2 linked regions of the Lonchura striata genome follow. The protein of the gene in region 1 interacts with the protein of each later gene in a biochemical or structural test. Links are inferred from orthologs where the notes say so. Each region holds a gene or a part of one and is shown on either strand. Other genes may lie near its edges.

Region 1 (15,286 bases):
TGTTGTAAGACACAAACCTACAGTACTGTACTCTAAAACTCTGAACTTTTTTTTACTTAGCTTAACATGTCTCTGCTTTAAACAATAAATCCACATTCTCACTTCTAGTACCTAAGTTTGGAAGCTTTTTCCAAGGTCTCAGATCAAATTGTATGTTTAATTCTAAGCTTTAGCATACAAGCCCAAAATTCTGAGAGTTCCCTACATCTCAGATTCTAACAGCAAATTATTTAATTTTAGATCAAGAAAACAATAATGTAGCAAATCAATGCAAGAGGCTAAGGCTGCTCCAAGTGGGCAGGGAGAGATCTTCTGACTCCAGTCTTGACCAAAGGAAGAAGCCAGGGATCTCCCTGGCCCCCATGCCTGCTTTTCCACAGCAATTTTGCCTCCCAGCGTATCATGCCCAGCTCCTTTTGTAACCATTCCTCCAGCTCCTGTTGCATGTTCACCCTTCATGGCTCTCATGTGTCCTGTCCTGTTGAAGCAGATGAGCTCATTGCAGGATAAGCTTAAATGAGGATGGTGACCTCCAGGTGCATGAGATAGAAAATCAAAGATGTGTAACAAAACAAGGTGTTTTTGAGGAAGAAGCTGAAAATTGCCAAGCCTGTAATTGTCTCTGCTTGTGCTTTGGCGGCTGCCCTTAGACAGGCAGTTTTGTCACTCTGCTCAGCTTCTCCTTGCTTTAACAAGGGACAAGGAACTCCACTGATCTTTGAAAAGCCTTCAGTAAGTGCCACGTTTTTCTTTCATGTTCTGGATGTCCCTGCTACAGCACACATACATCAAACCCTGTCCATAAAGGAGTAATTAATGGCACAGCTAAAGGGATGTCATAGGATGGGCCTGATTACAGCTCACCCAGAAATGTCTTCCCAAGTCCCAGGCTCTTTGACATTATTCTCCCCCCTTTATCTGGATTTCTTCCAGCATTAATTTCAGCCAGTCCTGGGATTATTTGAAAGAGGGCCTTGGGGGACTTGTTCAAAGGCACTGCCACCACAGACGACTTTGCTTTCTGAACTGAAGCATTTCACTCCTATCTGTCTGGACATATGAGCTGCTCAGCACTGCTTCATTAGGCAAGTTATTTTTAAATTCCCAGAAAGAGCAAAACATTGAGAGAGGAATTAGCATTTGCTGTTGAAACAGCTGCCAAACAGAAGAGGCAGAAGGCACTCCGGGTCCCGCCTGCTATCCCTGGGATTAACCAGGCACCAGTACCCAGTCACTGACACACTCTCAGACTGCACATGACACGTCAGAAATCATGGCCCAAGATAAGGATAGGTAAGTGACCATCAGAACTCTGTTCTGGATGTAAGTAAGAAAGTGACCATCAACACAAAACAAGAAAAAATCTTGGAAATCTCTCTTTTCCTCCAGCCCTGTTCTCTGTTTCCCCCTTTTTCTTACCTGAACTATTCAGTTAAAGGATTTTAACTCCATTCTGGTTTCTCCACACAAATGAATGAAGCAATAAAGCCTGTCCAGAGTCTTTGCTGCCCTTAAACAGCAAGACCCAGTGGGCACCCAGCACTTTCCAAATGCCACGGGACTGCAATAAAGCTGATGCTGCTTGATTGCATTCTCACTCTGTAATGGGTTTAAGTTTCCCAGTGGCTGATGGTGCTCTTTCAGGCCAGAGTTAAAGCAAAAGGCTTGGCAATGAATTGTCTGAGGCACGTTTTGGTCTCTGTTCACAAATGCTGATTGCCCCGTGGTTGGTGCTGCTGAGGGCAGCCAGGATTCCCACTGATAATGTTAATAATGCAAAAAAAAAGTGTTGAATATGGGAAGGCGGAATAGGTTAGGTAAAAATATCCTTTCCACCTCTCTGGGAGCACACAGGCAGCACCTGTGCTCCTGCCTGCAGCCACAGGGTTTCTGTATTTATCCAGAACAAATCTAGCAGGAGCTGTTCTCATAACCTGCTCCCAATTCCTGTCTAATGAAGGCTACTGGATTCCTCTGAATTAATGCTTGTTCAAACCAGAGTGTTTGCTTTGGAAAAAAAAAGATCTCATTAAGTATTTCCAGTGATTCTTCAGTGGCAGGCACTCTGCCACAGTCGGCAAACTGCCTGTGGATCTTCCAGTGGACACCTTTCCCCAGTCCTAAAAATGCACAGCAACCTGTATTGACATCCACCTACCAAACACCCCTCAGCCAGATAAATCATGGAATCACAGAATGGTTTGGGTTGGAGGGGACCTTAAAGACCATCCCATTCCACCTGCCAGGGCAGGAACACCTTCAACCATCCCAAGTTGCTTCAAGCCCCATCCAACCTGGCCCTGAACAATTCCAGTGATGGAGCAGCCACAGCCCTTCAGGCTGTGCCAGGACCTTACTATCTATAGGGTTAAATCTGTCATGTGCCTTCCCAGAGACTGCATTTAAAATGTCCCTTCACCTTTTATTTCTTAGTAAACTGTGTTCCTTGGGTGCTTTTTCACCAAAGTATGTTTTCCAGCTCTCTTCCTGGAGCACACACAGAGGTAATAAAACCTCTCGTGTCTTCCTTGGTACCTCGTTTTGTGATTCCTTGGAAGCATTAGCTCCTCTTGGCAGAGCATCTCATTAGGAGCTCTTCTTCAGCTGATTATTCCTCTTCTGAGTCACTGCTTTCCATGACTTTGTCACCCACCCCTTAGTCCAGCTGCTGCTCTATTCTTAGGCTAACGACTTAACATCTGGTGGCACGAAAAACATGTTGTTTATTTAAACTCATCTCATTAAGTGATCCAGATTAGGTTTGGTATTGGCGACCTGCCCCAACTTCTGTGCAGCTGCAGATCAACAGTAATTATTTGGCATTTTCTCACAGGTCAGTGATCACACGTTAAGTGTTGTGGGGTCAAGATCGGGCAGGAAGGGAGCTCTGCCGTGTTCAGTGCTCTGCTTACAATTACACTTGGAGACCTATCAGTTAGTTTTCAATCCAATTAATATTTGTCATATTGACACATTGTTCCTCTCAATCAAAGTACAGTGAAAGACAAGATCTGGTCTCTGGCTGAAGATTTCTTCTAACAGCTCTACTACTGTGAACTATGATATTAAAGAAAATATCTGATTAACGGGACAAAGCCTACTTTTCATAATGCTACAGGATCTCCTTGAAATGATTTATCAGCTTATTATCTGTTACCTTTTTTCTTAAGTATCTGTGACAACAGAATATCCAGGAATATCTCCCATTAACCTTTAAAGAGACAAATGGCTGGAACAGATCTCCTGTGGCCCCTTCCCTGGCAGCTGTTCCCTGTGAGGGGCCAAGTGCCCTCCCCTGTTTCCCACTCGTGCCCAGGGCCAGGGCCCCACCCCAGCCACGCTCTGCGGGGGCAGAGTCCCTGTCAGTGCCCAGTGCTGGGCAAACCTTTGGAGCTGTGCTGGCAAACCCAGCAGCCCCAGGCTCTGCCCCACCCTCTGTCACCAGGATGTCCCCAAACCCCACCCGCCCCTTCTGACCTTCCCAGCTCTGTCCTGTGAGAGCTCAGCACCGCTGGGAGCACCAAACCCAGAGCTCGGCAACACCGAGGAGACTCGGTTTGCTGTGAACAGAGGGAAAAGGGAAAGAGCTTCAGGTGTTTTAATGCTTGGAACCGTCTACCAGCACAGGGGTGGGACTGTCCATTTGGGGACTGTTCCTTTGGGACTGTCCATTTGGGGACTGTCCTTTTGGGGGCTGTCCATTTGGGTACTCTCCATTTGTGGGGACAGTTTGCAGGGACATAAGATTCCTATTTGGGAATCTCCATCTTGGGACTGTCCATTTGGGACTGTCCTTTTGGCACTGTCCAGTTGGGGACTGTTCACCTGGGATTGTCCCTTTGTGGACTGTTTAGGACTGTTCCTTTGGGACTGTCCATCTGGGATGGTTCCTTTGGGACTGTCCCTTTGGGACTGTCCCTTTGGGACTGTTCCTTTGGGACTGTCCCTTCGGGAGCTGTTTGGGACTGTCCCTTTCCCTGCAGCCCCTTTCCCTGAGCCCTTCCCCAGTGTCACATCTGCCACTGTGTCTGTGCTGCCCCGTGCAGGGGAGGCGATGGAGCAGGGCCTGTGGGACTGAAAACAGCTATGTTCTGGGGCTCTGATTGGGTTTTCGGCTTGGTTTAGGGGACAGAGATCAGGCTGTGCCAGGACACACATTACTCAGCTGCACCAGTGTGAATGCACAGCAAATTGTTTGGGCATGGCTGCTTTTGGGAGAAAGGCTGAGATTAAGACTTGATGTAAATTTAATTTTTTAAGTTTTGTCATGAGGAAAGACTCAAACAGTGTTTTTCTTGCGATTCTGAAAGATGTTTTTTGACCAACGTTATAATCCTAGAAGAAAGTTACTTTAAAATTAAATAAAGCGAATGCTAACCAAAATAAAGTTAATCCAGTAAGCATGGTAAGGAGTTCATCAAGATGGGGTAACTTTTCCAGTCTAGATTTTATTCTGTCCTACCTATGGAGCTTTTAATTTCCATTTGACTACTTTAGATGAGCTTTCTTGCCTCAGGGTTTTAATAAAATCAATGAACTTCTGTGCTTAAAACCTGGCAGAGATGGCTTTTTCAGAATAGAAATAAAGTTCCTTCATCAGGAGACAAGTTTTCTTGAATTAATACCTGCAAAGGTGAGTTTTCCAGAAAGGAAAAATAATAGTTTAATTGCACATGGATGTTCTTGGATGGCCTGGGGTAATTTTGTTAACCAGAAGGAAAAATAAAACCTCACTTTTTCCCACTTGACTTTGGTTATTTCTGGCCGGAACAGGGCTCAGGTGCAGTGATGAAGCACTTTGGTGACATGAGCAAGCACCTCTATGTTTGGGTTGTATAAATTGCCACACTCTGCTTTAACTACTTCATCTTCTGCAGCCTGAATTTTTTAGGTACAACTGGATTTATAGAATTTAACTAGGTGACAGTAAACAGCAGAGAAATCCTTTGGGATTAAGCAAATTCAGCAGAAGTTTCCACATCCTACATTTATCACAGACTTTGTATGTAACTTTCTGCCAGAATCTACAGAAAGACAAAGTCAATGTAAAAAGTAAACAGCAGCTCAGCTTTAAGCGCAGGTAGCTGGGAAAAATCAGAATTCCTGCATTTACACTCCCCAGCTGGCTTCATCTCCCCACTCAGTTCCTGGCTCTACCTCTACTTGGAGTATACAAAGATCTGAGTTTGGTGGGTCTGTTATTTTTAATTTTTTTGCTCAGGTTTAGAAGCTCCCAAGAGATTCAGATTTCCACACCTCACTGCATTTGGATTATTACTTAGCTATACTGAGAATGAGTTATTTTAATATATTTTTAGAAAAAAAAAAATAAGCCAACATTTTTTTCATCTATCACTGCATACCTAATAAGCAGTTTTTAAAACTCTAGGGAATTTAAAACAAATTTATTTACCCCCATTGAAGGAAACGACATTAAACTTACCATGGAAAAGTGTTGCAATTCTCTTTTGCTATACACACAGTAGCAAATTGAAAACACTTAAGTAGGAATTACACCATGCTTTTGCTGTAGATTTTGAATTTTTCCCTATACTGCAAATTTTTCTATGCAAATATATTTTCCCCTACAAGCTTTTTGAAATATGCTGCTACACTGCTCCTAATTTTGTCAAAGCTGTTTAGGAGATGTGTGTGCACAGGTCATTAATTATTATTAATGTCAAGTGGATACTGAAATCCATTAAGTGGTTTTGAAAAATCAGAGCTTATTCTGTACCTGATCAACTCTGTGAGGGCATTTGCAAATAAATCCACCAAATCGCACCCAGGGAGAGACTTTTCTTCAGCTGTGTGCCCTGGACCTCAGCTCCAAGTTTTTACTGCTAAGGAAGGTGTGAATCAGCAGGATCCAGCTGCTGTCTCTGCTCCTCACGGGTGTTCATCTCCCAGCAAACTACAAATGTCTGCCTCAAGAGTCGGAGCTCACCCACAGACGTGAAGAGGAATGTTTTATTGCTCTGTTGCTTTGCCATTTGATGATTTTCAAGACTTTCGGTAGGGTTAATCAAGTAAACCTATTCTGTTGAGGGGGAAAGATACAAACAAAATGATGTGTCAGATGTCAGGAGGCTGTTCCAAGAACATAAACCATCATCTTATCCCTCCATCCAAACAGAATATGCTCCACCTCCCATTTGCTCAATAATCCCTCATATTTTGCTGCTTAGGTTACTGGTGTCTAAACAAAGCCACTTTTATCCTGCTCTGACCTTGCCTTGTTTCCAGAAAAGGTGGGGGGAAAGGCAGGATTCACTTTCATGCATGACCAGCCTGTGGCAGTGCCCTCACCTCTGATTTCTTTTGAGGTGACACAGAAATGTCCTGCTGCTGTGCTAATTGCCAACACTCATACTCATGGCTGCCTTATCAATCCTGGGCACAAGGCTTCCCATGATAAGCTGGATCAATTGTGTGCCCATCACCTGCTCCCTGAATTATCCACGTTTGAAAAATGGAATGGGTTTTTTGCCAGCTTCAGTGGTGCCTGTCAAATATAAAGCAGTGTCCACACACTAAGCCACAGGGTCTCCATTTGGGGGATACAGTTTCTCTGGCCACTGGATTTTGTAGGGGTTGGACCACATAAAACATACGTTTGTCATGGGTCAGGAGCAAGACAACTTTTCCCAGTGGCAAATATTTTGGTGCATTAAATATTTGGTGCATTAAGTATTGTGATGCATTAAAACCACAAAATTGCTTTGTGACATTAAATTTACTCTTCTTTGGGGTTTTTTTTATAATATTACTCACATTTAACAGCCAAAGCAGAGCTGTTAGGTCACAGTTTGACCCAGCAGTACATTTAATTGTAACTTTAGCAACGATGCAAAAGACTGGTCTGATGTAAACTCACCCTCCCAACCCCAATTTACTTTTAAAATCATAAGAAGTGAACATTGTCCAAGCAAGTTTTATGCTGTGTTAAGTACTACCTCTCCATCACTCCAGGTATGTGGTGTATCAATACTCAATTGCTTCATGTACAGGTTATTTGAACAAAAACATAGTTGGGAACCTACACCTGCTCCAGATGAAAGTGGGACTCCTTCCTGCTCTCTGTTATTAAGGATTTTGGCATCTTCCTTTCCTGGTCACAGGCTGTGGCAAGTAAAACTGATGAGAAATATGCCCTGTACCTGTTCCTTCCCTCTTCTCTCGCCCGGACACTGTGGCTGCCTTTGAGTTCTCAAGTCTGCTGGAGGGAATTTAAAGTGTGAATTGTGAAAAACACCAATCACTTGTTTTTTGTTTTTTTTTTTTTAATCTTAAAAGTTAATAATAAAATAGTTATAAAAATAGTAATAAAATTAGAGTAGTAAAAATTTGGACACAGGATTAGGACACTACAAGACAATAAAAAGCAAAGAATTACAGACATCTGGATGTTTTGGGGCACTGAACTGCCAAAAACACGTCTTGGGAGCAAAGGAATAACCCTTAAAAGCAACAGCCAGTTGCATATTCATCTATCTCATACATGATGCATAAATTCTTTGCAAATTAAGAATGTTTCTGGTTTTTGTCAAATTCTTCCCCTTAATCCTGGTGGTTCCATAAAGATGGAGAGAAGGTGGAAGAATGTTTGTCTTTTCTGATAAGGAGGCTGTAATTCTTTAGATTTTCTGTTGCTGTTATCTCTATGCGAAGAGTTTCTTGATTATCATATCCCTTTTCTTGAGCTAGTAAAAAATATCCTACATTGCAGAGTTTCTATTTTAACATTATGTTGTAACCTAAAACTGTATTTAACACACTACTTAAAAAGGATTAATACAGTATTACAAAATAACCCTCCATAACACACATAGTATTCAATTTAATATTTGTGAAGAGGCAATCATAAAATATGCATTTTTCACATTAATATATAAAACCACTTCATTTACATTAGAAGTTGGACTTGTATTGTTGAGTAGAAACTTAACAGCTTCCACAATCTTTAAATGCAACACCCCCCTCAACTTGACAGTGCTATTTTTATAATGAACCACCAAAAGGAGAAAAAAAGGTGTCTCGTGGGCTTCCTGAAATGGTGTAAAATCCTCAGGAATACGTTTTTTCTCTATGTATCAGATACTATGAAGATAACTTCCTTGCAAGACCTTAGCAAGATATGACATTTTGGGCATTAAAATGGGATCTTTCAAAACTCAGCTGCCCTCGGTAATTCCAGCAGTGAGGGGGAACACTGCAGAAGTGCTTAACCCTACATAACATGGGAAGTCTGGCGTTCAACTCATTAAGGCTCACATAGGAAAACATGAATATCTCAGTTTTCAGAGCTGCATGTAGTACACACCACCAAGTGAGGGGGGAAAACCCTGCCATAGTTATAGAGGGGAAAGAACGTTCACGGTTTGAGGTGGAGGAATGTCAAAGCTTGGAGGGAAAGGAATGTCCGTGGTTAGAGGGGGAGGAATGCCCATGGTTAGAGGGGGAGGAATGCCCATGGTTAGAGGTGGAGGAATGACCAAGGTTAGAGGGGAAGGAATGCCCATAGTTAGAGGGGGAGGAATGCCCATGGTTAGAGGGGGAGGAATGACCATGGTTAGAGGTGGAGGAATGACCATAGTTAGAGGGGGAGGAATGCCCATGGTTAGAGGGGGAGGAATGCCCATGGTTAGAGGGGGAGGAATGCCCATGGTTAGAGGGGGAGGAATGCCCATGGTTAGAGGTGGAGGAATGACCATAGTTAGAGGGGGAGGAATGCCCATGGTTAGAGGGGGAGGAATGTCCATGCTTGGAAGGATGAATACCCGCACCGACAGACGCCAGTACTGCCAGTATTTGTTTTTTTGGCACTGCTGGCCACCATCGACCATGCACGGAATCCCCTCTCTCCAGCGCCCACACCTGAGACAACATGAAACTTAGGGGACCGCGGGGATACGGACCCTACAGTGAACGGGCAGGCACTGCTGAACCCCGGTCCCCCCCGCATTCCCTGGGTGCTGGGTGCTCTGAGCTGAGGAGCAGCCACGGCAGCCCCGCCCCGCCCTCAGCCTCTGCCCGCACCAAAATGGCGGCGGCCCCTGAGGGCCGCGGCCGCGCGCGCTGGGCGGGGCTGCCCTCGCGGGCCGCGCCTGCGCGGGGCCGCGCGCGCCCCCACTTCCGGCTGCCGGCGGCCGCTTCCGGCCCCCCGTTCCTTGGTAACAATGGAGCAGAAAATGGCCGCCTGAGCGGGCAGGAGGCGGCGCGGCGGCGGAGCGGCACGGGCGGAGCGCGGACAGCCGGCACCCAGCCCCGAGCGGCGCGGGCAGCGGCGCACCCACAGCCGGGGCGGCGGCGGGCGTCGGCGGCGGCGGGCGGTGAGCAGCGGGGCGGGGGCGGGCTCTCAAAATGGCCCGGGGACGGGAGAGGCCCAGGCCCGGGGGAGGCGGCGGCGTCCTCTGCCCGCAGCGGGAGGCGGGAGCGGAGCCCCTCAGTGCCGGCTCGGGGCCGGCGGGGCGGCTCGGCGGGGCGCGGGAGGCTCCGTCCGCGGTGCCGTGAGGGAGCGGGGGGCGGTGATGGCGGTCTGGGCGGGTGTGCCCGGATGGGCCGCGCTCCGTCACCCCGGGGCCTCTCCCGCCGGAGCCGCCCGGATCCTCCGCTGCGGGCTGGAGCGGGGGCTGCGCTGCCTGCGGGGAGGGCAGACGGGCCCCGCGCCCTGCGGGTGTCCGGCCGGGCTGGGGAGGAATGGTGAGCGGCTCCTTCGGGAGGGGTGGGGGAGGGGGTGGTCAGAGCTGCTGCCCTGGGCCTCGTCCGCGCTTGGGCGTCTGCTGCGGGAACCGCAGCCTCTCACGGCCGCGTTTTCCGCCCGTGCTCCCCGAGAGCTGGGCCAAGAAGCCTTGTTGTGGAAGACAGGCGAGAAGAACTCTTCCTCTCCCGCTGTGCAGAGCTTTGGATCAGCCTGTGACCTGTTCAGACCTGTGCTGTTTGCTATTCCTGTGCTGAGTTTCTCCCCAGTTAAGCACGTCATCTTTGCTCTGTCACCTTAGCTTCCTGTGCAGGTTTTCCCCTGCCCCTTTTAACGATGTTTGTTAGTATTTAAGGGTTCTGGTTCTCTGTTTCAAAACCTTTGTCGAGTCCAGCTGCATGTATGTGTTTATCTCGAGTCTGCTTTAACTGAGGAGCAATGTCAAGCTGTGTGTATGTATATCTGCCTGGCATGTAGTGATGATTAAGGTTTGTTTATAAAATTTATTATGTGTCCCGATTTTAGTGTGCAGCAGAAGTCTGACAAAAGGTTTCACAGGAAAAAAACCTGAATTTTTAAAATAATAGTAGTATTATTTTGCTGTTTCTCAGCAAGGTGGAGCCTTGATGCAGAGAAGCTCCTAAACAAGAATACAAACTTGATAATACCCAATAGTATCGTCACACATCACATTTATTTTCCTGAACGTGTTGGCAGTATTGGGTAATTTCAGCTTGGAAATACTTGTCAAATGTTCAAAAGAACTTCTAATTTGTCCCCGAGTTTTAATTGCAGTGACTTGTCAAGTCTTTTTAAAACAAACAGTTCGCTGCTTCTCGGGCAGTTAATTATCTTAATTGAGGGTCAGATATTTAGTTTAGTTGTAGTGGTCACCTAGCACTTAAACTGACTCTGTTCCCTCTACAGGTTTACCATTTTGGAATTAAAATAATGATAGCTTGGAATTATGTCTTGGGAAGGGAAAACACACCACACATTATAAAATTAAGGGTTTCTTGTTATGTTAGACCACTAAAGCACAACAACTGCAGTGTTCCCTTCATCAGCAACTCTGACTGGGTAAATGTTTGTCCCTGAAATAACCACACACCAGTGTTTTTCAAGCTCTAGTGGTTGCCATCTCTATCATATTTATTTTCCATATTACTGAATTCCTAGAAAAGGCTGTTGCAAGTGTCTGCTCTCCAATATGTGTAGTTGGGTTTTTTTTTTGAGGAATGGATAGCGTGATCCTTAGATTGAAATGTTTTCAAAACACCCTTACATCAGACACCTGCCTTGCTTGTTCTTTAGTCCTCTTCCCTGTGGGGATGTAGCAAAATAAATCCCTTGATCTTAGCAGAATAATTCCAATTGCAGTGGAGGTGTTACATTTTTTTAAAAATCACAGCATAATAACAATGCAATTAATATAGAACACAATGCTATATATTAATAACATGTTATTAATATTAATAAACATAATATGTTTATATAACATATGACTCCATATGTCTAAAGTTTGTGTTTAAGTCCAGCCTAATGTAGCTTAACACATTACTGGAGTGTCCTAAATTCTTTTTTTGTAGAGAACTTCAGTTTCCATGTCTTAAAACACTTGAATCCAGACATGATTATTGGGTGTTTAGCCAAGGTTTTGTGGTTTAATCTCAGTCTTGGTGAAAACTTATCAGCGGCTGAGTTTGCAAAAATTATTCGTGAAGGGATAAAACCAAATGTGAACACTTCCTTCATGATCCCTTTATGGGAGTCTTGTGCTTCTCAAAACCAAAACTTCTAAAGAGTTTAGTAGTGTCATAACTTAGTCGGGAGCTTTGTGTGCTGAGTAGGGATAGCCAGGAGCATCCCAGGGACTGGTTTTGCCTTTGCACAGCTTCTGGCTGCAGGTAAGATCATAAACACAAGCCTGTGTCTCCTTCAGAGTGCTCAGGTTTGTATTAATGAGGTGCTTGTTAGGAGCTTTTGGCTGCTGCATGGTGTTCAGGATCAGCTTTTGACTCGGGGAGGTCTGCAGGGTTGGATGGTCTCATAAAACCACCTGATGGTTATGGAATGTAGGAAAAGCCAGCACGTATTTTATCTTCATTCAGTATTTAAAATCATCTTGTGCTCAGAGCACTCTGGGTTTCGATGTGCAAGGTATATGTGCACATAGTCCTATTAAAATGCTGGAGCTTCTCTGCCTTGGGATGGTATCAGAAATGGAATTGTCATGGTACAGATGCCTGTTTAAATTCAGATAAATAGATAAATTTGCCTTAATTTGATTTCCCACCTCTCTTTGTTGGGCAGTGGATATCAGCAAGAACAGGAACGCACGTATCGGAATTCCTCTGTGGTTTGTGGTTGCAGTGATTGTTGCTCTTTTACTGTTAGCAGTGCCTGCATTAGCAGCAGTTGTGTGGAGACAGCAAGATTCAGCAGTCAATTTAAAGATGGCTTTTTCTTTTTTAATTGAAAGTCAGTGAGTGTTGATTGGCTTGGTGTTTTCACTAACCACAGCTTGTGTTTCTTCAGGAATCAAAACTCTACTTGTCCTTGGCTATCAGTCCTGTTCCAGTGCTGTCTCTCAGGGTCAGCACTGCTTACTTGTGTGCAGCTTTACTTCTTTTGAGTTCAGCGTGGGCCTTCTGCTGCTGACCCAGCTGGAAGTTCATTTCTGGGCAAAAAGAGCATCACTTCACGAGCCTGCAGTGCTGGAAACTTGCTGCACCTCGTATACGCCAAGCTTTCTCTTCTGTGCTATCTGAATTTGATGGCAAAGGCAGTGTTATCTTAATTTTATTTTCCACTTGTATGTGGAAAGTGTTGTTTTAGTAACTGCAGATGATAAAAGGCAAAGCCCAGCATTTTGGCAGTTGTTACTGCATTTTATTTTCAGAGCTCCATCTTGGTTCCACATGCTCTCAGTATTCTGGAATTGCTAAGTTCTGCCCTGATTTCCTCACTTCTTTCTGACTTATCAGGAGTTGTTAGTGTTTCTTTATCTCAGCAGTTGGTTCAGCTGAAGTGTTTTTCCTCTCTGGTCTGTTGGGGTTTTTTATTCTGTGGAACTTTCTGCCACTGTTCTGCACAAGTATTCATTTGCTTTCTGTTGTTTGAAATGTATGTTCAGAATGACATCTTGTTTGAGGGCCTTTGCTTTCAAACACTGGGTAATGAAAAAGCTGAATCGATGTTTAAAACTCATTATTAAAGTGGCATTTAAATTTTACAGGACTTTTCATAGAACACTTTATAGAATACAAAACTTTCTTCCAGCTTTGCAAGACTGGTGCATTTCTGATTTTAAAACTTGTGGTAGATTTATTAAAAAGCTAATAAGAACCTAAACCTGCTGTTCATCACAGTGGAAATAAAAAGCCACAATAGAAGGGAAAAGAATCCCAAAATTCGTTATGCCACTTCGAAAATTAGAAAAGTTTCTTCTTTTTTACTGTTTCTAAGATGGAGATGAGTATATTGGACCTGTGGTATCAAAGACTTCGGTGTGATCACAAAAGGCACCTTGTGCACCTGCACAAAAAGAAAAAGCCAAACAACTTGACATAATGAAGCTCCATGTATAATGCAAACAGATTACTTTCATTTCACTGTCTTAGGGTGTCTTTTTCCTTTAATGATGGGATTCACTGACAGTTTTTCCTTCTGCTTTTGAGCTTGCAGACTTGAGTGATGAAATATTTAAGATGAAAATGTAGTTTCTGTTATGTCTTACTTCCAGTTTTGAGTATGGAGAAATTGGATACTGACTGGCATGGAAACTGTTTTTTCCACTTTGAATTCTTCTAGGAAAATGAGGTGGAGTGGGTTGGATGAGTGCTGTGTGTGAAGTGGGTTCAGTTTGTGCTTGAAGGAGCTGGGGTAAGAGGACTGCCTGTTCTAGCTGCTGTTCCTGTGTCATTTGAGACATGGAATTGGAGCGAGGCTGGCTGGGGCCGTGCTGCCATGGCACGTCAGAGCTGCTGAAGTCACAGTTCGTGGAAAGCGCTTGGACACGCAGCTGTGCTGTGCTTCTCTGGAGCTGAAGTGTCTTTGAGGCATGTTCACTGCAAGCTGGGCAGGGAAAATAGCCTCTAACGACCCAAAGCAAACAAATCCCAAGCAAATCCGTGCTTCTGGATTCCATCCTGAGTCACTCCTTTAGTCCAAGGGTTTGATCAGTTCTGTGGACTGCAAGTACGCAAGGTGCTCTACCGGTTGGAGTAGCTAATTAAGATGAGGGTATGAATCATAAATGAGAAGCTGGCCTTCTGCTGAGGACATCTCTGGAACACCCACACTGCCATCCTCTTTTTTGTTTATCCAGAGGTATTAACTGTGTTGCTGGGACGTGAGGTAACTCAGGAAACATTCCTGCCACACAGGGCACAAGAGATTCTCAGGTGAGGTTGATATACCGGTAACACCGACATGGGGGAGTTCTAGAGAAACTTCTTCTTGCACACCTGACTCATGACCAGCTGAGTTGGTTTTTCAGTTTAATTAAATTCCGTGCCTTCTGTTAAAATTTGAGGCTTGCCCCATAAATCTAATGAAAATTTTAATTTTAAGGTGTCGCTTTTTCATTAACCCTGCCAATTAGTGATTTCAGGGTTTGTCAGATTTTCTAAGTTCTGCCTAGTTGGTTTAATGAGAGCTCTAATGTTTTATGGGATTTCTTTTAAATGTAAAAAAGAAACCAGGAATACAGGCTAAGGTAGTGTCTTGGTGTTCAAGTAAGGTAACTAATGTCAGGAGATATTACACATTTTTGAAGGAGGAAGAACTAGAGATTCATTACTGTGCATTATAGTCCATTAATACTTTTTCTGGGAAGAATCCTGTAGTCCACAAGTGCTGTGCAGTATGGAGATAGGCTGTGTTACTGTTGAAGGTAAATGGGTGACACACACATGTTATCCCTGCTTGCTGTCCCACTAGAATTGAAGCAGTAGCACATTCCTGACTGGATTTAGTTCACACACAACCTGGCATGAAAGAAAACAAAATATTTCTTAGGCTGTATGAATGATAACTTTGTATTATTGAGGGAATATCCAGTACTCTTAAATTGTCCCTGTCCAAAAACATATAGTATTGCTTCCTCTTGAATTAAAAGAATGTAACAAACAATGGCTTTTGTGGGCTTACTGCAGTCTGGAGCAGCAGTGGGGAGACAGGCAGTCATTTGTGCTTGGAAATCTCTGAGGTTGTTGAAGCGTAACTGCAGGGAAGATACTTTTCTGATTTGTGGCAGGACAGGAACACCAATTAAGAATTCACTCTGTAGCTACTCTTGTCTGGATATTCAGCTGCTGAATAATTTTTTTTTTTTTTTTCCCAAGGAGAAAATTGTTTATCCTGTCTCCGATTCTCGTGCTTTGTGCAGTCCTTAGGTGGCCACCCCCTCACTTCCCTGTAAAGAGGTTTTTCATACCTGGATAATCTCAGCTGAAGTTGGCAATAACCACCAGATCTGAACTTCCTGCTCATAGCTGTGACCTTCCCCACCCTGTGTCAACTCAGTGCTGACAAGGAAGGACACTAAAGGAGAAATTTCTGAATCTTTTAGCTTGGATAAGA
Region 2 (15,426 bases), on another chromosome or scaffold:
GGGGGCTGTGCCAGGCGCTGGCAGCCCGCAGGGCACCCGCAGGTACCGGGCACAGCCCCGGGCTTGGCCGCTGCTCTCGTGGGCACCTGGGAAACCTCGGGACAAATATTCCCCGATTTCCCTGGGGGATGGGAAGCTCAGAGCCTGCGTGTGTTAAAAAGTGTCTTAAAAAGTGGCTGTCCTCAGATCCTCGAACCGGAGGGCTCAGCACTCTGCTCCCAGCAGTGTGACCACGGACACGTGGATGTGTCTTTATCTGGATATATATTCCTGTGTAAATACAAATATATATATTCATACGTTTGATCAAACTGGCTCCCTTAGGAGTTTTTTCCCTTTCTTTCTGAAAATATTCTGAAATATTTCCATATCTGTGTTTCACAACTTTCTGCAGACAGATAACATCAGACTCTATTTCCTGTTGCTGTGTCAGCCACCTCCTTTGCCACAAACGATGAAAAATAACAGTGTCCCATCAAAATCATGATTAAAGCCAGAACAGTCCTGCTCAGATCTCCCAAGGACTGCCAGCCTCCCATGTCCTCATTTTTTTGTTGTTCCAAAGCATTTTGCCCCTCTATTGAAAGGGAATATTTCAACACTTTGCTTGATCAAGTTTTAAGATCTTTTAGTTTCAGGCTTTTTATTTACTGATATTGATGTGAATTTAGCAAAAGACTATGTAAAGTTTAGCTGACAAATTTATTTGTAATCTTGAAGTATTTGATCATCAGAGAGAAAGCAAGAATATAAATAAAAGACACTGGACATCCACATAATCTACAGTTAATTCCATAATTTGTACAGATAACAATATACATATTGTCTTGCCTTTCCTCACAATCAGCTTGCACGATATCCGTGGAAATACACAAATGCCTGGAGCAGAGACGTGTCCCCAGGGAAGGGGGTGCTCCCTCCAGCAGTGCCTGGGGAAGGGCTCATCCTAAACCAGCCCGACCCCCCGAGAAGGTTTTTGGCAACAAGACATCAGGGTGATTTTTGAGACACTTTGCAGTAAAACTGATGCAAAGAAATTTGAAGGAAAAGCGTAAGATCCACAACCCAGATCCACCACCGGTGTCCCCGGGTCAAGAAAATTCACCTCTTGACCTCGTGATAAACGTGGAATTACTTGGTAATAAATACATCTATTCACGGTTTAATGCTTATATGGAAGAGTCAACCTAGCAATCTACAAATTAAAGAGGGGAGAAGCAGAATTAACATATGATTTTCATTTTACAAAGGAAAAGGGATGTTGATAAACGATTGGCATATTAAGAGCATTTCGTTTTAGAAAAGTTAATGTAAGTTCAAAGTAAAACAAAACATACCGCATTGGTGCACTTTAAAAAAATCTGTTGGAAGAACAGAGAAGATTCCTACCATGGATTTCTGAAGTGATTCACTATGAACATTTCTCCTATAGAAATATAGACATTGTCACACCTTTCACCGTAGATGAGGATTTTATTTTCCCTTAAAAACGTTTTGGTGTGGATGGGTGCTTTGGAGAATGCACTGACAACAAAACGCAAAATACCTCATATCAAATCTGTAAAGCACAAGTCTTGGTGTTCGGTAAAGACACAAGAATCGGTTTGGTTGGGACGCTCCGGGTGCCGATGGTTGCAGTGCCAGGGCCTTTGTCCACCATCATCATCGCCACCATCATGGCAGGGTCATGTCCGAAATCCCCTCTGCTCCCTCCGTGTCACGTTCCTGCACCGCTCACGGCTCGTCCCTCTGTCCTTTCCAAGAGCAGGTGACATTTAACAGCACCGAGTCCTTCTCCTTCCAACAGCACCGAGTCCTTCCCCTTCCAACAGCACCGAGTCCTTCCCCTTCGACTGCCAGCATCAAAACTGAGCGTGGTCGACCTCATCCAGCCAGGAGGCCGGGCTGGCCGGGAAATCAGGGTACCCGCCGCTGCTGCCGGTGGAGAGGTCGGAGCTCGGTCCATTGCCAGCCAGGACCCTCATGGGCTGGGGCACGCCGGCTCCGCTCTGTGCCATGATGGCCAAGCCGCTGTCCGGGTACACCAGGCTGGAGATTAAGGGCTGGTGGCCCGGCAGGGGCTGCAGGGACGCCGGGGACGGGGCGATGCCGTAGGGGCTGTTGGGGCGCAGGTCGTGGTACTGCTCCTGAGGCGGGATCCCGCCGTGCTCCAGGCCAAAGCTCCCGGGGGTGCCGGCCTGCCGCCCCAGCGCCGGGGAGGCCTCGCTGAGGTTGCTGTAAATCCCGTTGGAATGGCTCATCTCGGACATGGAGGGCTCGTCTGGGAAAGGGAAAAGGACTGGTTTTACTGGGGGAGCAATGGAAAAGCACCAGTCACCCAGGAACTCCCACGAACGGCGGGTATAAATAGATTAAAAGGATGGGAGCTGAGCAGTCATGCTCTTCCACTTGTAATTCCTTATTATTCCCATCCTTGTCAATAAATCTTCATAGGCAGCCATGGGATTAATATTTTTTTCTGAATACAAACAACTAATATATCTTGGATTTTAAAAACATGCATAAAAAGTACGTATTAAAATGTAAAACTGTGATTTAAAAATAATTCTTTAAAGGGGAAGTGAATTCGATGTCTTTTCACTTTTTGTTTCTATTTGGTTTTGATGTTTATCTTGAATTTTGATATCACTTTTAGGAGCTACCTGAAACAATGCAAGATAAATTCCCAATTATTCAGGAAAAGAGATATTAAATTAAAATATTTGTCTGGTCAGGACAGGCTAATGAAACCACAGAAACACAGAATGTATTTGTATGGCTTAAAAACACTCCTAAAAAATGAGTAATATTTTTTTAAGTTTCCAGAAAAAATTGTTTGTATTCGTTAGAAGCTTTATGGACAGTGAGAGCTGCTCTGTTGCTGGGGATACAAACCTGAGCTCTCAATAATTGTTCGACATTTTTTAGTTATTATTTATAGACTATTAATATTTAATGAGCTGATACACAGTGTGTATAAACAGACTCGAAAATCAAATTGTTTTTAGGAGCACAGGAGAGGAGCTGAGATGAAAAAGTGTGTGTTTATAAATACACAGTCTATGTAAATATATACAGCGGCTTGCATTTCAGTTTCTCTCCCATTCCTGAAAATGATACAGAAATTTGGAATGGAGCACTGGGCTGGAGTTGGGATTGTGCAGAACGTGTTTCTGCAAATGTAACCCAGCCTGGGACACTGTCCCTGCGGGTCTGGAGAGTGTGGGGTGAGCTGCTGCTGGTCTGTCCAGAAATTTTGGGTTTGTCACCAGAAACCTCGGCCCCAAAAAGGGGACACACTGCTGCAGAAGCCGCTTATTTCCTTTTTGCAGCACAGGAACAGCTCCCACTGAAGAGTCCTAATGAGCAACTGCACAGATAAACCCATCCCTAAATACGACTTAAAAAAAAAAAAAAAACCAAACAACAAAAAAACAAATCACGCTCGTTTTCCCAGAAAAACATTCCGTGCTTCTGGGCTTCCCGTTTTTTGTATTTCCAAGGATCCCTTGAAGAGGCCGTGCCGGGCAGCGGCTCTGGCACCGCCGCGCTGCGCGGGGAGCTCTCCCCGCTCCCCGGCCCGGCCGCCCCTCGCTCCGCCGCTCCCCGCGCTGAATCCCGCGGCTCTGCCCTTCTCCCGCCTCGGCCGCTCTGGTTTATCGCCGCAAATCCCCACCGCGGCCCCGAGGGGTGAAACAGCCGGGGCACGGCAGCAGCTCTGGGGCAGGACGCAGCCCGCGCCCGCAAAGCCCGGCTGGGGCTGCGGGACCCACCTGTGAAGGAAACCTCGGCGTCGCTGTCGGGCCCCTCCTCCTGGATGCTGTCCTTGTCGGACTTGGATGTCCCCCGGGATCGCTTCATATTCCTGAAGTACTGCCCCCACCGCTGCCTCCCCGCGTCCTTCTTCAGCCTTTTCTCCTTGGCCCTGCGGTTCTGGAACCAGACCTGCGAGCGGGGCACGCCGGGGAGCTCGGTGCCTGCGGGGCCGCTCCGCGCCCGCCGCCCCGGCCCGGCCCGGTCCCCGCACTCACCTGCACCACCCGCATGTCCAGCCCCGTCTCCGACGAAAGCTGCTCCCGGACGTGCCGCGCGGGTTTGGGCGAGTTGTTATAAGCGTTTTTGAGGGTCTCCAGCTGCTTGGCCGTGATGGTGGTGCGGGGCCTCTTGGCCGTAGACTCAGCCTCTGCCGACACGGGGCGAGTTAGGGGCGAAGTCACCACGGGGGACGCGGGACCCCCCGACCCTCCCCGGTCCCTCCCTCCACCCTGCCGCCCGGTGTGTGAGCCTGTCCCGGAGGGCAGGAGAGCCCCGGGCCGCCTCCCTGCTGCCCTCGGGGGTGGAAGGGACAGGGCAAGGGGTACCTCTCTGCTTGGCCGTCTCGTAGTCCGCCTTGCAGACCAGCCTGCTGTCCTCCATGAGGTAGAACTCGTCGCCGGTGGCCAGCTGCCGCTTGCAGACGATGCAGGCGAAGCAGTGCAGGTGGTAAACGAAGTCCTGGGCCCGGCGCACCACCTGGGTCGGGGGGATGCCCTGCTGGCAGGCGGCACACTTCGTCCCGAAGCGCCTGAGCATGGGGGACAAGCGGCGGCCGCTGAGCCGGGCGAGGCCGGGCACGGTCCCCGCCGGGCCCGGCGCTGTCCGCGGTGCTCCTCCCGGTGCCGCTGTCCCGGTGCTGAACCCCGAGCGCGCCCGCGCTGCGACACCCACCCGCGGCCGGCCGCCCCCCGTCCCTTCCCGGGCCGTCCCCACGCACTTGAAGAAGTCTTCCTTGCAGTAGACGCCGTCCCCGCGGCTGAAGCACTTCTCGGCCAGCTGCGTCTGGCAGTCGGAGCATTTCAGGCACTTGCTGTGCCAGTGCCGGTCCAGGACTTTGAGGATGAACCTGTCCACGATGTGCTGGTTGCAGCCGGCGCACAGCGGGATCTCTGCGGGGAGGCAGCCCCCGTCAGCCCCGATGGCCCCTCCGCCTCCCCGACCGGCCCGGCCCGGCCCGCCGCCCCGGGGCTGCAGGTGACCAACGGTGGACGAGGGGGTGACCCGAGGAACAGCACGGAAAAAAGCATTATTCGTTCAAATTCGTTGTCGCGGCGTCGTGGGGAGCAGCGAACCCCCGAGCCGAGCGCAATCCGGGAGAAGTGCCCGGGAGAACCGGGATAAACAAGAAGGGAAGTGATGGAAACGGAGTTAAGTCCCCGAGCGAGCCGCTGGCAAAGCTATAATTATCCCAGGCTCTTTTTCCTTTTCCTAAACTTCCAAAATTCACCTGTGAACAACGGTGGGGTAGCCCGAATGGGGCGGGGAAAGAAACTACCAAAAATTACGAGAATTGCACTGAAAATGAAAACGCGGCAGTCTTGTCCCGTCCCCCTTTAGATACCGACAGAGATTATACAGAAAGAGATAAGGACACAGTTACGGAGAAATAGAGATATAAAAATAAACAGATACAGCAGATAAATGTACAGATATATATAAACATAAATATATAGATTTCAGTATATAGGTAGAGATAGAGATAAGTAGGTGAAAATATGGATATGAGGTACATAAATACGGTTATATCGGTATAGATAGAGGCGGAGAGATGCATGACACGGCTGTACAGAAACAGATGGGTGCGGACACGAGAGCATTTCTATGTAAAGATAATTCTATAGATATAGGAGCTGGCTCGCCGTGCACGGGGGTAAGAGGTGGGGGTGATAATCGTTATCCTTAACAATTCACCGCGTCCAAACAAACAACCCCAGCAGCGGCAGCGCTAAAGGCAGCGGCCCCGGCCAGGACGGAGCTCCAGCACCGGCAGCGGGCACGGTGGCACGGCACAGCCCGGCAAGGTCCCGGTCCAGCCCGCTCCGCGGCTCTTACGCTGCATGGCGATCCGCGGCCGCGGCAGCTCCGCTCCCTCAGGCGGGCCGCGGGCTCTGGCGCATCTCCCGCGGGGCGAGGGCGCAGCGGCCGCTCTGCCCCCGCCGGACCCCCCCAAAGCAGCGGCTGCTGTCCCCCGCTCCCAGCGCCGCCACCCCCGCGGCGCCGGGGATTTAATTCGCTAAAGCGGGTTATTTTTAGACGCCGGCCCTCGCCGCCGGTGCCGGTCTGAAGCGCCGGGCAGGGCATGGCGGAGCGCTGTATTTAATCCCCCCCGCCCCCGGGGCCGGCGGCACATCCCCTCCCGCCGCCCCTTCCCGGCTGCGCCCGGCGGGAGGGACGCGGCTCCGGGGAAACGAGCCCCGACGGGGCCGGCGGCGGGCGGGGGTCCCGCCGGGAGAGGCAGCGCCGGCCGCTGCCCCGAGCTCCTTGTGAGCCGCAAACCCCGGCATTTGTCCCCGGCCCGGGCAAAGCGCCCCACGGTTCGGGCCCCCCGGCGGCGCGAACCCCCCGGCACCGGCCCCCGGCCACGGTAAGCTCCGCCGAGCCCTTCCCGCTGCCTCCCCGGGCCCCGGCGGAGCCCAGGACCGCGGGGCCGTGAACGAGCGTCGTGTCCTGCGGGTAAAACGAATTTGCTCGTCCTTCGTTCTACCGGAGCGCAAGCAGCTCCCGGTCGCCGGGTCAAACGCGCATCTGCCGCGGCCGCGATGTGCGCACCGCGGAGAGCCCACGGGGACAGCCAGGGAAAAGCGAACCGGGGCTGGACCGGGGCACCAGCCCGTTCACGGCGGCTGCGGGGCCGTGCGGTCCGTCCCGCTCACGGTGACACCTCTGTTCCCGCACACCGGGGGGGACCCCGTCCCGGCTCGTCGTTGATTTTTTTTTTTTTAAAGCCACATCGAAAGCTTTCGATGTTGGTGAGAACCGGGACGGCCCCGCTCCGGGACCGGACCCGCTCCCCCGTTGAGCCCTGAAGCTCCGGCCACGCCGGGGGAGCGCAGCCCGGTTCTCCCCGCCCCGCCAGGGCTGACCCTGTTCGTTCAACGGGACGGAAGAACATTTAAGAGAAGAATTAACGGAGTTTTTCTAAAGTGGGGAAAAAGCCGCGTGGGAGGCGGGCAGGAGGGCGCAGGGGGTCCCTACAATCGGAGGGAACCCTCGGGCAGCGGGAAGTCCCCGTTTTGTCCCTGTCCTCGTTGAGCGGGGAGCGGTGGGACCCCGGGGCAGGAGCCGCCGTTCCGCCGGGCCGGGCAGAGCTCCGGTGAGCGCGGGACAGCCGCTGCTTTTCCCCGGGATCCACGGACACCTGGAGCAGCGGCCGGGGGCAGCGAGGGGGGCTCTGATATCGGGGACGAGGCAGGAAAGAGCGAGGGGCGGGCGGGATGGAGCGGGACGGGCGGGACGGGACCCCCCGATGCCGTCGGGCCGCCCATCCCCGCACCCAGCCCCGACCGCGGCCCCGGCGGTGCCCTCGGGACACGGACGGAGCACGGCCGGTCCCGCGGCTCCCAGAGCAGCCGCCGCTGCCTCCGCGGGGGGACGCGGAGATCTGCGCGCCTCCCCCTCACCTGGGCTCCGCGGGAAGGGGCAGAGCTCCGCTGCCTTCTCCGAGCCGGCGCGGACCCGCTCCAGCAGCATCGCGGCCTCCGTGGACGCCGTCCGAAGTGCGCGGGTGGCTGCGGAGGAGTGGCGGAGCGGCGCGGAGGGGCGCGCAGGGAGCGGCGCGGGGCTGGGCGGAGCGGGGGGGCGCGGGGGGCGGGCCGGGGGCGGCACCGGGCCGCAGCTGGGCCGCGGTGCAGCGCCGGGCTCTTTAGCATCACAAAAGCGGCCGAGGGAGCGCTGTCCCCGCCGTCCCACGCGTGGCCGCGCCCGACGCGTGGGCTCGGGCTGCAGCCGCCGCCCTCGGGTGCAAAGCGGCCCCGGGAGCCCCGCGAACCCCCCGGCGGCAGCACGAAGGGGGTCGGGGCAGCCGCCGTCGGGGGGAGCCTCCGCCCGGGCCCGGCTGCCCCCCGGCAGCCCCCGAGCCCAGATTTCGTTTGTCCCCGCAGTGCGGGGCTCCCCTGAATCCGCTCGTGGGCAGCGGGGGAACTCTTTCCCCGCCGCAAATTAATTAACGAATTCATGCCTGATCCGCGGCCAGCGGCGTGCGGCGGTGCAGGAGGTTAATTGCGCTAATTGAAGACGGGGAGGACACGGACGGAGTGTGCGTGTGCGGAACACGCGGGGCTGTGCGGGGGTTTTGTGAGCGCGGCGGCCCTGGGGCGGTGCGGGAGCGCGGGGTGGGGGTCTGGCCGTGCACACGGTGTGGGGAGCCTGTGCCTGTGCTCTGTTCCACGGCACCTCGCGTTCCCGCGTGTGCGGAGCTCTCGGGGCGCTGCCACGGCCGCGGGGGCCGCGTTTGCCCGGGGAGAGCCCCGTGCGTGTGTGCACCGCTTGCCGCGGGCAGCCGGAGCTGATAATTGTGGTTGTTACTGTGAGCCCGTTAATCCCCCGAATCCCTTTACCTCCTGCTCGCAGGGGATTACAAATTAATAAAAGCAGCTTAAGGGCGGGAGCCTCCAAACTCACATATGCTCCTGCCCACGGCAGCACCGGGACTTTCGCCCGCTCCTGGGGGCGGCCGCGGAGCCCCCGGCGAGCCCCGGGCCCCGAGGCACCCAGCCCAGCCCACCCTCCCCTCCCCGGGTCCTGCGGGGCCGCGGGCCGGGTCGGGGTTGTCCCCTGGGATGGTTCGTCTGGCCGGGGACAGGCTGCAGCCCGCGAGGCTGGGAAATGCAGGGATTCCCTTTGGGGACCAGGATGGAGTCCCCAAATAAAGCACCCAGGAACGCCAGGCGGGAGTCGGGCTCCAGGTCCTGCCCGAGTGTGACCGGTACCGTGCTGCAGTGACACCGGGTGCCACCAGCTCGTCCCCAGGGCCAGGAACATCTGATGACCCACACGGTCCCTTCTAAGCTCGGTTTTAAAGTGGATTTTTAGTCTGAGCCTCTAAGGAAGCGCTTTGAGCAAACCCGGGTGTGGTGGTGCCGGTTTCCCCGGGCACGGGGCAGGGGTGGGGCAGCTGTGGCGGGCAGGACAGAGAGCAGGGGCTGTGTCCCACTCGGGACAGAGAGCAGGGGCTGTGTCCCACTGGGGACAGAGGGCAGGGGCTGTGTCCCACTCGGGACAGGGAGCAGGGGCTGTGTCCCACTCGGGACAGAGAGCAGGGGCTGTGTCCCACTGGGGACAGAGAGCAGGGGCTGTGTCCCACTCGGGACAGAGGGCAGGGGCTGTGTCCCACTCGGGACAGAGGGCAGGGGCTGTGTCCCACTGGGGACAGAGGGCAGGGGCTGTGTCCCACTCGGGACAGAGGGCAGGGGCTGTGTCCCACTGGGGACAGAGGGCAGGGGCTGTGTCCCACTCGGGACAGAGGGCAGGGGCTGTGTCCCACTCGGGACAGAGAGCAGGGGCTGTGTCCCACTCGGGACAGAGGGCAGGGGCTGTGTCCCACTCGGGACAGAGAGCAGGGGCTGTGTCCCACTCGGGACAGGGAGCAGGGGCTGTGTCCCACTCGGGACAGAGGGCAGGGGCTGTGTCCCACTCGGGACAGAGAGCAGGGGCTGTGTCCACTCGGGACAGAGAGCAGGGGCTGTGTCCCACTGGGGACAGGGAGCAGGGGCTGTGTCCCACTGGGGACAGAGGGCAGGGGCTGTGTCCCACTCGGGACAGAGAGCAGGGGCTGTGTCCACTCGGGACAGGGAGCAGGGGCTGTGTCCCACTCGGGACAGGGAGCAGGGGCTGTGTCCCACTGGGGACAGGGGGCAGGGGCTGTGTCCCACTCGGGACAGGGAGCAGGGGCTGTGTCCCACTCGGGACAGAGGGCAGGGGCTGTGTCCCACTCGGGACAGAGGGCAGGGGCTGTGTCCCACTGGGGACAGGGAGCAGGGGCTGTGTCCCACTGGGGACAGAGGGCAGGGGCTGTGTCCCACTCGGGACAGGGAGCAGGGGCTGTGTCCCACTCGGGACAGGGAGCAGGGGCTGTGTCCCACTCGGGACCAGCAGTGGCACCTGCCACCCCGTGGTGTCTCACGCTGAGACACCCAGACCCCACAGAAGTCCCTGTGTTGATCTCCCTGCACACCCTCCTGTGCCCTCCTGCTCAGGGGGCAGCAGGCACCAGCCTTGCCCATGGCCTTCCTCACTTGGGCTTCTGCCATTTATAAAAAACAACCATTAATAAAAACCAACCCACTCAAACCTTTCTTTATTCCTGGTTTATTTTCTCTTCCCTCCTTCAGATTCCTCAGCAGCTCCTCAGAAGTCTGGGTTTAAAAATACACCTCCACAGGATGATGGATCTGGTTTATTGTGGACATGTTCATGAGCTGTCCTGGCAATAAAGCTCAGCTCAAAACAATTTGCAAACACAGGTAAAGAGCCAAAACGCATCCACTTTGCCCAAACGTTTGCAGTTTATTTAAACAAGCACATTAATTTACAGTTTAGTACAAAACAGTCACTTTTCCTTCCAAGAGAGGAATGAGACAGTAAAAACCCAATCCAAACAGAACAGACTTGGAAATGTCAAGTTATTGACTTCAAATAAATAGAACATTTAAATTACTGAAATGGTATTGTCACTATTTTCAACACCTCATGTGCAACACCACACCTGGGACTTTTGTTCCCATCCAGCTCCGTGCAGGAACAGCAGGATGGATGCAATGCTGGATACAGAAAATTAGGAGTTCTCACAAATAACTTCATTGGGTTTCTTTAGCACTTGCAGCCTTTGTCTCTCCTGACACATTCTATTCCTTTTATTTTAATATTTCCTATTTGAAAACATCCCAAGAGCAAAGAAAGCTCCATGAATTACAAAGGGCTGAGTGACTGCCCCCAGCACAGCAGGATTCCCACAGGGAAGTGGCATTGCAGGAACACACCACACAAACAAACCCTCCAAGGTTCAGGACGTGGGGCTTGGAGACAATTTTTAAATCAGAGACTTTCCTGGCAGCATCCCCCACGTCCCAGCACAGACTGTATTGTTACAGAGACATAAAATGGTATAATTTGTCATTAGAAAGCCAAAAATAAACCCAAGCAAACCAAGATTTGCTCAAGTGAATTCAAAGTCAAGAAAACCTTCCCAGATGAGGACATTGAAGTGAAAGCCTTGGCTGGCTCACTGGCAAAAGCTGGAGCACCAATATGGACAAGCAACATCTTAATTTCATTAATTTCATACTTTCATAAAGAGACAAAAAAAGCCACTGAAGTTTGAGTATTGATTCATTTTGTTGTTTGCAGCGGGGTTGCAGCAATGTGGAAGTTAAACTTTATTCCAAACCCACATTTGCTGCTTTTTAATGGCAAAATCATCCCTACAAACCTCCAAGGCCTTTTGCTTTCATGTGCAGATGAAAATGAGCAGAATGAGTCAAAGCTTATGAAACCAGGTCTATGTACTTGTTAGAATTCTAAACAACTAATGACTGAATTTCAACTTGAGAATGTGCAATACTGAGAGCAGGAATGAATTAGCTCAACATTGCTGAGCTGGGTTAGTTTTTCCTGGTGTTTGGATTTCCTTTTAAAGCAAAGTATCCTTGCTGGAGGGCTGAGAACACCCCAAAGTTACCTGATTTTCAAAAGTCAGTGTGGAATCTCTGGGTTTTCCTCTGAATGAGCCTGGCCCTGGGATCTCTCACAGGATTCCAGCCCAAACCCTGCCCTGATGAGCCTGGACCCCCTTCCCCTGAGCTCACCATCACCCTTGTGCTTGCAGGGTGTTTGAAATCCAAGCCCAGCTGCTCCAAGGCTTGGAGTCATAAATTCCTAAAGAGGAAAGACCCAGGATGATTCCTTCTGCCAGAACTCTGGAATTCTGAGGGGCCTCTACGGGCACAGACCCAGCCCCTCTGCAGGAATGTTGGACTGACAGGGTCATGGGAACTGAGATTTCTTCCTCTGACACGTTCACAGCAGCCCCAGAAAGTTGTTCCTCTCTGTGGGTGTTACTGTGATGAACCTCAGCTACAGGGGACAGTGAATCTCTGCACCTCAGTTCTGTCATTCCAACTGGATGCTGCAGAGACCCGTCAGAAAGACTCAATTTTGTGAACAGCCAATATTTGATTATGAAAAAATCACCCTGTGGAGTCTCTGTGCTTTTTTTGTTGCCAGGCTTCAAACTTTCTGTGCTGGGGCTTCTGAGGGAAATTAGAGGAGGACACACCAATGGAATAAATCCAGGGAATTGGCCAGGGACTCCTTATTCCTTCTCATGTAACAGAGGAGCCAGCAAACCTTCAATTAAATTAAAAGTTGCAAATGTAGAATTGAAAGGAAAAGCCTTTTTATATAACATAATTAATCTGGAAAACTCACTGCCACGAGAAAACATTGAAGCCAAAACCTATTAGGATTAACTAAAGATTAGGTAATGGATAACTAGAACATGCTCAATTACATTGGATAGGATTATAAACTTCACTATCCAGGACGTGAATTATACCCCCCCAGCCAGGATCACAGCAACTCCTACTCCCAAGGATGATTTTGTAATGTTTTTGTGATTTCTTCTCACTGCTGCTCCAAGGACCCCACACTGAGCTGCAGAGGGAACTGGACATCCCAGAATGGGAGAGCTCTGGTTGGAAATACCAAGGGAAGTGTTAATTGCTCTCTTGTGATGGAGAAATTCAACAGAAGAAACTCAGTATTTGTAGATTTTCCAACCTGTTCTGCCACAATAACATAAATCTTGCTGTCCTTCACTAAAAACATTGTTTTCCTTTCCTAGAGTTCATCAGAATTGGTTTCCACATGGACAACACCATAATTACTTAGCATTCAGAATCAGGCTGCTAGTTGTGCCCAAAACTCTCATCCTAGTGATGACACACACAGATCCTTGTCTGGAATGCACCAGAGAACGGATGAATGGTTTGAACATGAAATGCTTCCTACTTTAAATACGTAAATAATATTTCAGAAAGTCACAGAGGTTTAGAATTGATTTAATCAGAAGAGAACTCATGTTTCCTGAAAAGAAACATCAGAATTCCTGCTTCTCCCAGTGAAGCAGCCAAGGTACCATTCAGCACTCGGGGAGGTGAAAGCAGCTCTGGATGAACTAAAAAAAAAAAAATAACACCTGACTTGAAAATACACAAAACAATATCCAATTTCCTTCTCCAGCAGGCACAGCAGATTGCATAATGCAATGTTTACTCTGGAAATGAGTAAAGGATGTTGGTGGGAAGTCATGGAAAAATCTTAACTGCCAAATGCAACGCTCCCGTGCGAGGACATTGACGTGGCCTTGGGCAAAGCCTGGGGATCTCAAGGCCAGCTCCACCTGTTCAGCTGAACGCCTTGGGAAGAAAGGGGCCTGACCCAAGGAATACTGCATATAAAATCCCTGATCATAAATATTAAAGCTGTGTCTGGGAGCCAACAGCCACGTACAGCGAGAACTCCTACACCGAGGAACGGTGAGCCTTCACTTTCCAGCGCTTGGACCTCACCCGGAAAAAAAAGTACATGATCATTAAAAACAAGGATGATGCCACATAGAGGATGACACACAGACTCATGTCTAGGTTGGAAAATCCAATCCCTAGGAAGGACACAGCCTGCCTGGTCCCTTTGAGGCTCACGGATGCAGCTGAGCTTTTGCCGCTACCTTGGACAGGTCCAGGATTTCCCATCGGCTTCTGGAACACCCTGGAGCTTGGATCTCCTGGGTTCTCCTTCTCCTGGAGCTTCTTTTCCCCATTTCCCCCCGAGTTCTTCAGCAGGTTTTTGTCTTTCCCCTCCCTCGTGCCTCCCTGCTCGTTGTCAGCGGGGTCAGTCTGGCTCTCGGTGTATTTGTAGAGAATGTTTTCACTGCTGTAGTGGGACTTCAGGAATTGCAGGACTTGGGCTTCATTCCAGCTGTGCAGCCCTTTGATTTCTTCATGACACGCAGGACAAATGTCTGGAGTTGGCCACTGAACTTTGGGGAATTTTGGATCTTCAGTCAGATCACCTAATTGGGGGGAGAAAAAATAGAAATGGAAAAAAGTCAGGAGGAATGAAGTGGGAAAGCTGTACCATCAGACACTGCCCAGGGAGTGTTCTGCACTTTCAGTGAGGTTGGCATAAAAAGCCACAGCACAATAATTGAATTAAACAAAGACAATCACAATTTGGAACTTTTCTCACCAATTCTGACTCCGAACATTTCAAAATACAAGCACTAACTCACAATTATTTCCCTTTTCTCACAGTAAAAGCTGCAGCATTTCAATCCCAGCCCCAAATCCTGCAATTGCTGCTTTTAGAAGGCAGGAGCACACAACAGTCTGGGCTCTGCAGGGTTAACCTGAATTATGGTGCAAAACAAACTGCTCTTTTCACTCCTTAATCCCTGTTTTCTGCCTGGTTTGCAAGAGCAGCTCCAAGGGCAGACACTCGGATATTTTCATGTTTCTGTGTTGTGAACCATTCCATCCCAAGCCTGCTTTTCCACAGCTCTGCATCACTACCAGAACAAACATTTGCAGTATTTTAAAAGCCATGTTCATGTTTAAGATGTATTTTTCAGCTAAAAAGTGAGCCTTTAAATATGTAACACTGTCTTGAATTAGATCTAATTTTAACATTTCAGATGCTCACAGCTCTGGCCATGTTTCTGAGCTGAATGCTGCAGCTGGTCTCACACTTTGCTCTAAAAACAATATTTTAAAATGTAAATGCACATAATTTTTAGAAAAAAAAAAGCTTCACCTGGTAAAACCCTTAATTTATTAACCTGATTAGTACACTAGCACTTAAAATATTTAAAAACAATAATTTTGCATTTTATTCTCATTTTATTATTTTTATTCTTTTTAAAAGCAGGAAACTTCCCCATGATTCCGCATAAAATAGGGATTCAAAAGACATTTAAAAGTATTTGTCTCCTTGATATTTACAAGCAAAAGAGCAAATTGGCTTTTTTATCCTAAAGATCATCCAGCAATCAATTTGTTTCAATAAAAAATGCAGAAACAAAATGTGTTACAGCAAGGTTGCAAACAGAAAACTCCCTGTACTTTGTGTTTTCCTGCCAAAGAGGGAAATGCTGTAAATCCTGTGCATTTCAAAGGAACAGGGAATAATTCAATAGGGCAGAGCCATATCCAGGCACCTCCTGACCCCCACCCCAAGGTGTTTTCATTGACCAAACACAATTTTTCACACAGCACCACAAATACAGATGCAGCTTTTAAGGATGAAAATATATCACTGTCCCACAGAGAAATTTTAGCAAACTGAAAAAGCATAATTTAACATTATTATTTATTCCAGTGTGTTTATACTTCTTACTAAAAGGCTGTTTTAGCTGGCTGCTGCATCACCTAAATCAATATCCATGTGAGTTTTCCAATACCTTAATGTTCTAAATAAGTGCATTGCTCCACCACTTGGCAACTCCAAGTCCACAGGAGTTGCCTGTTATAGGAACCAAAATTAGAGGATGTTTTTATTTAATCTCTTATTATTTACTTTTTTTTTCTCCTCAGAGAAAGGAGGCAAACTGTTTGT

What was found.
Region 2: the proteins of RLIM (region 1) and LHX3 form a complex in vitro, tested with the Homo sapiens proteins (2 studies listed by BioGRID). The link is inferred for Lonchura striata from reciprocal best matches to the Homo sapiens genes RLIM and LHX3.

Annotation. Positions count from the first base shown.
Region 1 is NC_134616.1:16,781,887-16,797,172, reverse strand, and holds the start of RLIM (E3 ubiquitin-protein ligase RLIM), read left to right. Parts: upstream 1-9,209; 5' UTR 9,210-9,332; intron 9,333-15,286. UniProt on the Homo sapiens protein: E3 ubiquitin-protein ligase.
Region 2 is NC_134624.1:9,074,505-9,089,930, reverse strand, and holds LHX3 (LIM/homeobox protein Lhx3), read right to left. Parts: upstream 7,507-15,426; coding exon 7,437-7,506; intron 4,926-7,436; coding exon 4,754-4,925; intron 4,565-4,753; coding exon 4,362-4,564; intron 4,184-4,361; coding exon 4,032-4,183; intron 3,946-4,031; coding exon 3,774-3,945; intron 2,282-3,773; coding exon 1,863-2,281; downstream 1-1,862. Other genes in the region: QSOX2 (sulfhydryl oxidase 2), read right to left, coding at 13,335-13,885. UniProt on the Homo sapiens protein: Transcription factor.